2 linked regions of the Macaca mulatta genome follow. The protein of the gene in region 1 interacts with the protein of each later gene in a pairwise test. Links are inferred from orthologs where the notes say so. Each region holds a gene or a part of one and is shown on either strand. Other genes may lie near its edges.

Evidence for each region.
Region 2: the proteins of RAB6A (region 1) and PMM1 interact in binary tests that used the Homo sapiens proteins (3 or more experiments, as listed by UniProt). The two-hybrid records come from large-scale screens. The link is inferred for Macaca mulatta from reciprocal best matches to the Homo sapiens genes RAB6A and PMM1.

What each region holds. Positions count from the first base shown.
Region 1 is NC_133419.1:74,098,720-74,102,529, reverse strand, and holds part of RAB6A (ras-related protein Rab-6A), read left to right. Parts: intron 1-1,214; coding exon 1,215-1,326; intron 1,327-3,810. UniProt on the Homo sapiens protein: The small GTPases Rab are key regulators of intracellular membrane trafficking, from the formation of transport vesicles to their fusion with membranes.
Region 2 is NC_133415.1:9,910,458-9,914,940, forward strand, and holds the start of PMM1 (phosphomannomutase 1), read left to right. Parts: upstream 1-1,668; 5' UTR 1,669-1,698; coding exon 1,699-1,785; intron 1,786-4,483. UniProt on the Homo sapiens protein: Involved in the synthesis of the GDP-mannose and dolichol-phosphate-mannose required for a number of critical mannosyl transfer reactions. In addition, may be responsible for the degradation of glucose-1,6-bisphosphate in ischemic brain.

The sequences.
Region 1 (3,810 bases):
GCCTGTAATCGCAGCAACTTGAGAGACGGGGGCAGGAAAATCTCTTGAACCTGGAAGTCAGAGGTTGCAGTGAGCTGAGATCGTGCCATTGCACTCCAGCCTGGGCAACAAGAGCAAAACTCCATCTCAGCAACAACAACAACAAAAACCAAAGTGCTAGGATTACAGGCATGAACCATTGTGCCCAGCCCAGTATCTGGGACTTTCTTTTTAGATTTTTAAAAAATGTGTACCACACTACACAGATGCAGTATCGTGGGCTAAAAAAAACTTACATAGACAAAGGAACTATTCATTTGGACTAATAAAACTGTTACTATACATTTTTGCATATCTCAATCAGGAATCATATCTAATAATGAATAATTGTGCTGGCAAAATTAGAAGATTGCGTTCAAGGATTTTTTTTTTTTAAATAGGTGCTATATGCAATCTTTCTTCTTTTGCACCTTTACTTTGGGTTGCTGTTTGTTTAAAAAAAAGAAGTATGTTCATATTGTGCATTGACACGTTTTGTAGCTTTAAAATGTTTGTGCTTACTTTAACCACAGCAAGTGAAACCTTACGTTTTTTTTAATCCACAAATGTGATTCAAATATTAGTATATTGTTTTCTTTAGCTGCTGTAATAAATGTTGAAGTACTCTACTTAGAATCCAACACTAGAAAAGATAAATTTTGTTACAGGTGTTTCTGGTGCATTAAACAAATAAATTTTAGGTTAAAGTGATCACAAACTGAGGAAGCTGTGCCAACAGTGGTGTTGAAAGCTATTGAAAGGCTTTACAAATTTTCTGGATGTGTTGGGACTTACTGGCTGACATACTTTTGAAAATGCTTTCTTTGTTATGTTTGGTATGTGTAAGTGATAAAAAAAGCATTGTGGCAATGTGACACCATATTATCTGCCATAACTGTCCTTATATTTCAAAAAGTTTTTTTTTTTTAAATTAAATACTACATTGCACTCACTTGGTCATATTCAAAAAAATTTTAAACTACTCTAAAAGGAACCTTGAAGATTTTATTCTTGTAATTTGTTTAAATTGCTGACAGTTGTAATCAGATAAAATGGAGTTATGTTGCAGGCACATTAAAAGTGGGGTACTAATGTGCCAGCCCCCTTCCAACTTCCAGGGCTTTTTTGGAGGGAGGTGCCCACCACCTGGGGAGGCATTTTTCAGCAACACTAATCTGTCTACCCTCCTATACCAGATGTTAACTCATTCCAGCAAACTACAAAGTGGATTGATGATGTCAGAACAGAAAGAGGAAGTGATGTTATCATCATGCTAGTAGGAAATAAAACAGATCTTGCTGACAAGAGGTATGGAGTTATTTTATGTGTGTGTAATGTTTGATTTCTGTGTTATACAGCCTTTTGTTTTTGTTCACTGAAAATTTGTTGTGAAAGGAGACATGCTTAATCCTTAAGTTTGTGTCCTCCCCTGCTTTTCTTTAGCATGGGAACCTCAAATATAAATGTAAATATTAAACACCCAGTCCTTAAGGGAAAATGAATTTTATTTTGTTTAAGCTCACGTGTAAATAACTCTTGTGCAAGTTTGTTTAGACTTGAAGCCAGTAAATATTTTGCATTTTTTAGATCTCATAAGCATGAATATTGTTTTGTTAAAGAGCAAACCAGTTTGGAAAAACCTTATCTTTAAAAATTATTCATAATGATTAAATGTACACTCTTTTCTTAGTAGTCTTCTTATAAACATCCATTATAATTCAGTGGTGTGGGTTTTTGTTTTTTGATTGTTGTTTTCTAATTGTGTGGTTGAACCAGACTGTGTAGTTGCACTGAATAGCTTGATTGTGATACCTTAGTCAAATGAGCAAAGCAATATTCAAGTCACAGGATGCAAAATATATTAACATTCACTGTAGAACCCATGGCTTGAATATTTGCTTTCAGCATTCTTAAGCGATTTACTGCATACTCTTTCTGCTTTAAATAGTTTTGACCATACTACTTAATAGTAAGAGCTTTTACTGTTTATTATTTGTTTATTCATGAGATGGATATTGAAATTCGGGTAATGAACTTGTGATATTAATTCAAATGTTGCAAAGAAAGCCAGTGTTAAAAGACTTGTGGAGATGTGAAGCCCATTTCTGCCCATGGCACCTCAATTAGAATTGGTAGTACAGGCCAGGCGCAGTGGCTCACAACTGTAATCCCAGCACTTTGGGAGACCAGGGAGGGTGGATCACGAGGTCAGGAGTTCAAGACCAGCCTGGCCAAGATGGTGAAACCCTGTCTCTACTAAAAATACAAAATTAGCTAGGTGCTGTGGCAGGCACCTGTAATCCCAGCTACTCGGGAGGCTGAGGCAGGAGAATCACTTGAACCCGGGGGGCGGAGGTTGCAGTGAGCTGAAATCGTGCCACTATACTCCAGCCTGGGCAACAGAGTGAGAGACTGTCTCAAAAAAAAAAAAAAAAAAAAGTAGTACAGTTGCAAAAAAGTCTTAATTTAAAAGTAAATTCAAAGTGATTTCATCTTTTCTTTATAAAAATCTTTTTTGGACATGAATTGCTATGAAGGAAATTTTCACTATTTTATTTTTCTTCACTCTAGAGACTTCGTAGGTACCTTTTTTTTTTTTTTTTGGGGGGGGGGGAGATGGAGTCTCACTCTGTCACCCAGGCTGGAATGCAGTGGTGTGATCTCAGCTCATTGCAACCTCCGCCTCACCAGGTTCAAGCAATTCTTCTGCCTCAGCCTCCTGAGTAGCTGGGATTACAGGCACCTGCCACTGCGTCCTGCAAATTTTTGTATTTTTAGTAGAGACGAGATTTCACCATGTTGGCCAGGCTGGTCTTGAACTCCTGACCTCGTGATCCACCTGCCTCAGCCTCCCAAAGTACCCGGATTACAGGCGTGAGCCACCACGCCCTGCCGGTACCTTCATTTTACTTGTTTATTTTTGAGTTGGAGTCTTGCATTGTGACCCGGGCTGGAGTGCAATGGCGCGATCTCGGCTCACTGCAACCTCTGCCTCCCAGGTTCAAGCGATTCTCCTGCCTCAGCCTCCCAAGTAGCTGGGATTACTGGCGCCTACCACCATGCCCGGCTAGTTTTTTGTATTTTTAGTAGAGACGAGGTTTCACTCTGTTGGCCAGGTTGGTCTCGAACTCCTGACCTTGTGATCCACCCGCCTTGGCCTTCCAAAGTGCTGGGATTACGGGCGTGAGCCACCGTGCCTGGCCTCTTCATTTTTAAATAGGAAAATTGTGTATCTGAATTGTTTCCCTTTATAGCCAGAGTCATCTGAGGAGGATGCTTATAAGGATTAGTTTTTTTATTGCTTAATATTTCAGTTGAGGCCGGGCGCAGTGGCTCAAGCCTGTAATCCCAGCACTTTGGGAGGCCGAGACGGGCGGATCACGAGGTCAGGAGATCGAGACCATCCTGGCTAACCCGGTGAAACCCCGTCTCTACTAAAAATACAAAAAACTAGCCGGGCGAAGTGGCGGGTGCCTGTAGTCCCAGCTACTCGGGAGGCTGAGGCAGGAGAATGGCGTAAACCCAGGAGGCAGAGCTTGCAGTGAGCTGAGATCTGTCTGCTGCACTCCAGCCTGGGCGACAGAGCGAGACTCCGTCTCAAAAAAAAAAAAAAAAAAAAAAAAATTTCAGTTGAGTGCACAAATGGTAGAAACTTATCAAATTTTATATATATATATGTGTGTGTGTGTGTATGTGTGTGTGTTTTGAAATGGAGTTTCGCTCTTGTCGCTCAGGCTGGAGTACAATCTTGGCTCATTCCAATCTCAGTCTCCTAGGCTCAAGCGATTCTCC
Region 2 (4,483 bases), on another chromosome or scaffold:
CCCATAGTGGTGGAGCCGGGAAGACAACCTGGAACTGACCCCAAAGTCAATGCAATGGTTAAATACTTGTGAATATAATCTGGGAAGGTTGGTTGGGCACGGTAACTCACGCTTGCATTCCCAGCACTTTGGGAGGCTGAGGCAGGCAGATCACCTGAGGTCAGGAGTTGGAGAGCAGCCTGGCTAACATGATGAAACCCCATCTCTACTAAAAATACAAAATTAGCCGGGCGTGGTAGTGCATGCCTGTAATCCCAGCTACTCGGGAGGCAGAGGTTGTGGTAAGCTGAAATCGCACCATTGCACTCCAACCTGGGCAACAAGAGCGAAACTCCATCTCAGGAAGAAAAAAAAAAAATTAGCCGGGTCTGGTGGCACATCTATAGTTTCAGCTACTCGGGAGGCTGAGGCAGGAGAATCGCTTGAACCCGGGAGGCAGAGGTTGCAGTGAGCCGAGATCGCGCCACTGCACTCCAGCCTGGGTAACAGAGTGAGACCCAGTCTCAAAAATAAATAAATAAATAAATAAATAAGGCCCTGTCTCAAAAAAAAATAAAATAAAATAAAAATAAGTAAAAATACAAAAATTAGCTGGGCATGGTGGCACACGCCTGTAGTCCCAGCTACTCGGGAGGCTGAGGCATGAGAATCGCTTGAACCTGGGAGGTGGAAGTTGCAGTGAGCAGAGATCCCACCACTGCACTCCAGCCTGGGCAGAGCGAGACTCTGTCTCAAAAAAAAAAAAAAAAAAGGAAGACTCTGGGGAAGGTCTCCAAGGAGGTGGACCCTGAGATCTGGGTCTTGGGGAAGGAAATTTGGCCAAGTCCAAAGCCTGAACAAAGGCCTTCAGGAGATTTCTTTTTCTTTTCTTTTCTTTCTTTTTTTTGAGGCAGAGTTTCACTGTTGTTGCCCAGGCTGGAGTGCAATGGCGCGATCTTGGCTCACAGCAACCTCTGCTTCCCGCTCAAAGCAACCTCTGGCTTCTTTGGAATCAAGCGATTCTCCTGCCTCAGCCTCCTGAGTAGCTGGGATTACAGGCATGCACCACCACGCCCGGCTAATTTTGTATATTTAGTAGAGACAGGGTTTCTCCATGTTGGTCAGGTTGGTCTCGAACTCCCGACCTCAGGTGATCTGCCCGCCTCTACCTCCCAAACTGCTGAGATTACAGGCGTGAGCCACAGCGCCTGGCTCAGGAGATTTCCTACAGCTCAAAATTTGTAAGGCAAAGAGATGACCACAGGTCTTGTGAGAGTGGCGAGCGACCTCGGCTCTCTTAGTCCCGCCTGGCCCACCAGGCACTGCACAGTACGGTAGAGGCCCCGCCCGACCCAGCCCTTGAATCGGCCTGTTGCAATCACTATCAACCCGCCAATTCTGGCCCCTCCCCTGTCTTCCGGGTTCACTCTCTCACTTCCTGCCGGGCCCAGGCTCAGGCCCCGCCTCCGTCTTGTTTGGAGGAATCCAATCGAACCTGGAGGGCTGCGCTCCGCCCTATGCCTCGCCCGCCTCTTCCAGGAGCAATCAGAATCAACTCAGGCCCCGCCCCCGCTTCGGTCCGCCGAGACCACGCCCCTTCGGCGCAATCAGGCCGTCTGCTGGCCCCGCCCCCTAAAGCCCCGCCCTGTCGAATCTTATCCCTGCGCTGCTTCTGCGGCTGCATCTTCCAGACTCCGCCCCGCGCGCGGAGCTGCAGCCATGGCAGTCACCGCCCAGGGAGCCCGCAGGAAGGAGCGGGTCCTCTGCCTGTTTGACGTGGACGGGACCCTCACGCCGGCTCGCCAGGTAGGACCCTGAAGTTTGGAAGCTCCCGCCGGGAGTGTCACGCGGACACCCCCGAGGCTGAGTGTGGGATCTGCAGCAGAGTGACCGTGGACACGCCGGGACCGAGTGTAGCATGCGGCAGTACCCGGCCCCCTGACATCCGGGGCCACCCACCGGGAGTGAGGGGACCTGGCCCTCCACGTCACTGCCCCAGCAGCGTCCCTGCCTGTGTTCTGCTTGGGAGTGTTGGGGTAGGATCCAGTACTGGAGGGAAGAGGCTGCGATCAGGGGCCTAGCTCCCTCTGTCCCCAGATGCTTTCACATGCCCCTAGGGCCTGGCTCCCGGAGGTCCCAGCCTCCTGAGCTGGGGATCCCACCCTAGTTCAGCCCTACAACGCACCAGTGGTCAGAGCTGGCTTCTGAACCGGGGTTCCAGGCACACAAGCACGCAGCCAAGTGTCAGTCACCATCTGGTAGGAGACAGGGGGTCTCAGAGTCTTCCCACCCCGACCTTTGCAGGCCTGGGCCTGAGTCTAGTTTCTGAAGCCCTATCATCCACCTTACCTTCCACCCCCAGTCGTGGAGCAGAGAGGGCTTCTTTTCAAATTCGTTTATGGGCTCTACCCACCCGTAGGTGAGAGGCTTCAGGCCTAGTCTGTTTGCTGTGAGGACACTGAGGCATAGTGAGGGTAAGAGTGTGGTTTTCTTCTAAAGACTCACTGTGTTGAGCCTCTTACCTCTGCTCAGTTTTTCTCCCACTGGGTCTCATTGTGAGTGAGTCCCCAAAAGCCCCCTCACCAGCTGGATGCATCAGTAAGCAGGTTTCATTCGTGCCCTCCCTGTGGGTAACCCACCCTCCAGTCTGGGGGCCTCAAGGACCAACCGACAGGTCTCCTAGCGTGGGGGAACAGTGGGATGGGCTTTACTGGGCAGTGGCTGATGGGAACCCAGGTCTTAGCCTCCTCTCTTAGGTCCCAAATGCCCCTCCCCATCCTCTGTGGTGAAATTACCCTGGCTTGGGCCCTGAGGACTCAAGGAAGAATCAGCCCGCTCTGCCTTCCTGCAGGGGTGGGTCTGGGAGGAAAATGACAGGACTGGAGGAAGATGACAGGACTGGAGCGAAGGTGGGCTGGGTGCAGTGGCTCATGCCTGTAATCCCAGCACTTTGGGAGGCCGAGGTGGGTGGATCACCTGAGGTCAGGAATTCGAAACCAGCCTGGCTAACATGGTGAAACTCTGTCTCTACTAAAAATACAAAAATGAGGTTGGGTTCAGTGACTCATGCCTGTAATCCCAGCACTTTGGGAGGCCGAGGTGGACAGATCACAATGTCAGGAGTTCAAGACCAGCCTGACCAATATGGTGAAACCCCGTCTGTACTAAAAATACAAAAAATTAGCTAGGCATGGTGGCATGCACCTGTAATCCCAGCTGCTCGGGAGGCTGAGGCAGGAGAATCGCTTGAACCAGAGAGACAGAGGTTGCAGTGAACCAAGAATGTGCCATTGCACTCCAGCCTGGGCGACAGAGCGAGACTCTGTCTCCAAAAAAAAAAAAAAATAGCTGGGTGTGGTGGCATGTGCCTGCCCATAGTCCCAGCTACTCAGGAGGCAGAGGCAGGAGAATCGATTGAACCCAGGAGGTAGAGGTTGCAGTGAGCCAAGATTGTGCCATCGCACTCCAGCCTGGGCAACAAGAGTGAAACTCCATCTCAAACAAACAAATAAACAAAAGAACTGGAACAAAGGTGGCAGGGCCTAGGCGCAGTTCTGATGCCTCCCTCTGACCTTCTGTTCCACAAACATAACAACCTGAATAAGAACAGCCTATTAATTTGTCTACGGGCCAGCCTCTGTGCTTAGTGCCTTTTGAAAGTTAATTTTTAATTGTACACATATTCATGATCACACTCTCCTGGTAAAGAATGAAAACCTAACAGAGAAGGGTAAAGTCCCCTCTGACTACACCAGGATCCCAGGCCTGGCCCCCCTCCCCAAGGTAATGTGGTTACTGTGGTGTGGCTTTCCTCCAGGATCTGTTTGCCCAGAGCAAATATTAAACATTGTTTTGTGGGGCTATTTTTGTTGTTGTTGTTCTTTGGCTCCTCAAGAATCAACTTGATTGTGATGCTATTTTGTTGTTGTTGTTAGAGACAGGGTCTCGCTTTGTCAGCCAGTCTGGAGTGCAGTGGCGCCATCACAGCTCACTGCAGCCTCGAACTCCTGAGCTCAAGTGATTGTCCCGCCTCAGCTTCTGGAGTAGCTGGGACTACAGGCGAGTGCCACCATGCCTGGCTAATTTTTTTTTTTTTTTTGGAGACAAAGTCTTGTTCTTGTCCCCCAGGCTAGAATGTGATGGCGTGATCTGGGCTCACTGCAACCTCAACCTCCCGGGTTCAAGCGATTCTCCTGCCTCAGCCTCCTGAGTAGCTGGGATTACAAGCGCCTACCACCACGCCCGGCTAATTTTTTAACTTTTGTAGAGACAGGGTTTTGCCAGGTTGGCCGGGCTGATCTCGAACTCCTGACTTCAGGTGATCCACCCGCCTGGGCTTCCCAAAGTGCTGGGATTACAGGCATGAGCCACCGCGCCCGACCGAAAATTTTTAAAAATTAGCCAGGCATGGACTGGGCGCAGTGGTTCATGCCTGTAATCCCAGCACTTTGGGAGGCCCAGGTGGGTGGATCACCTGATGTCAGGAGTTCAAGACCAACCTGGC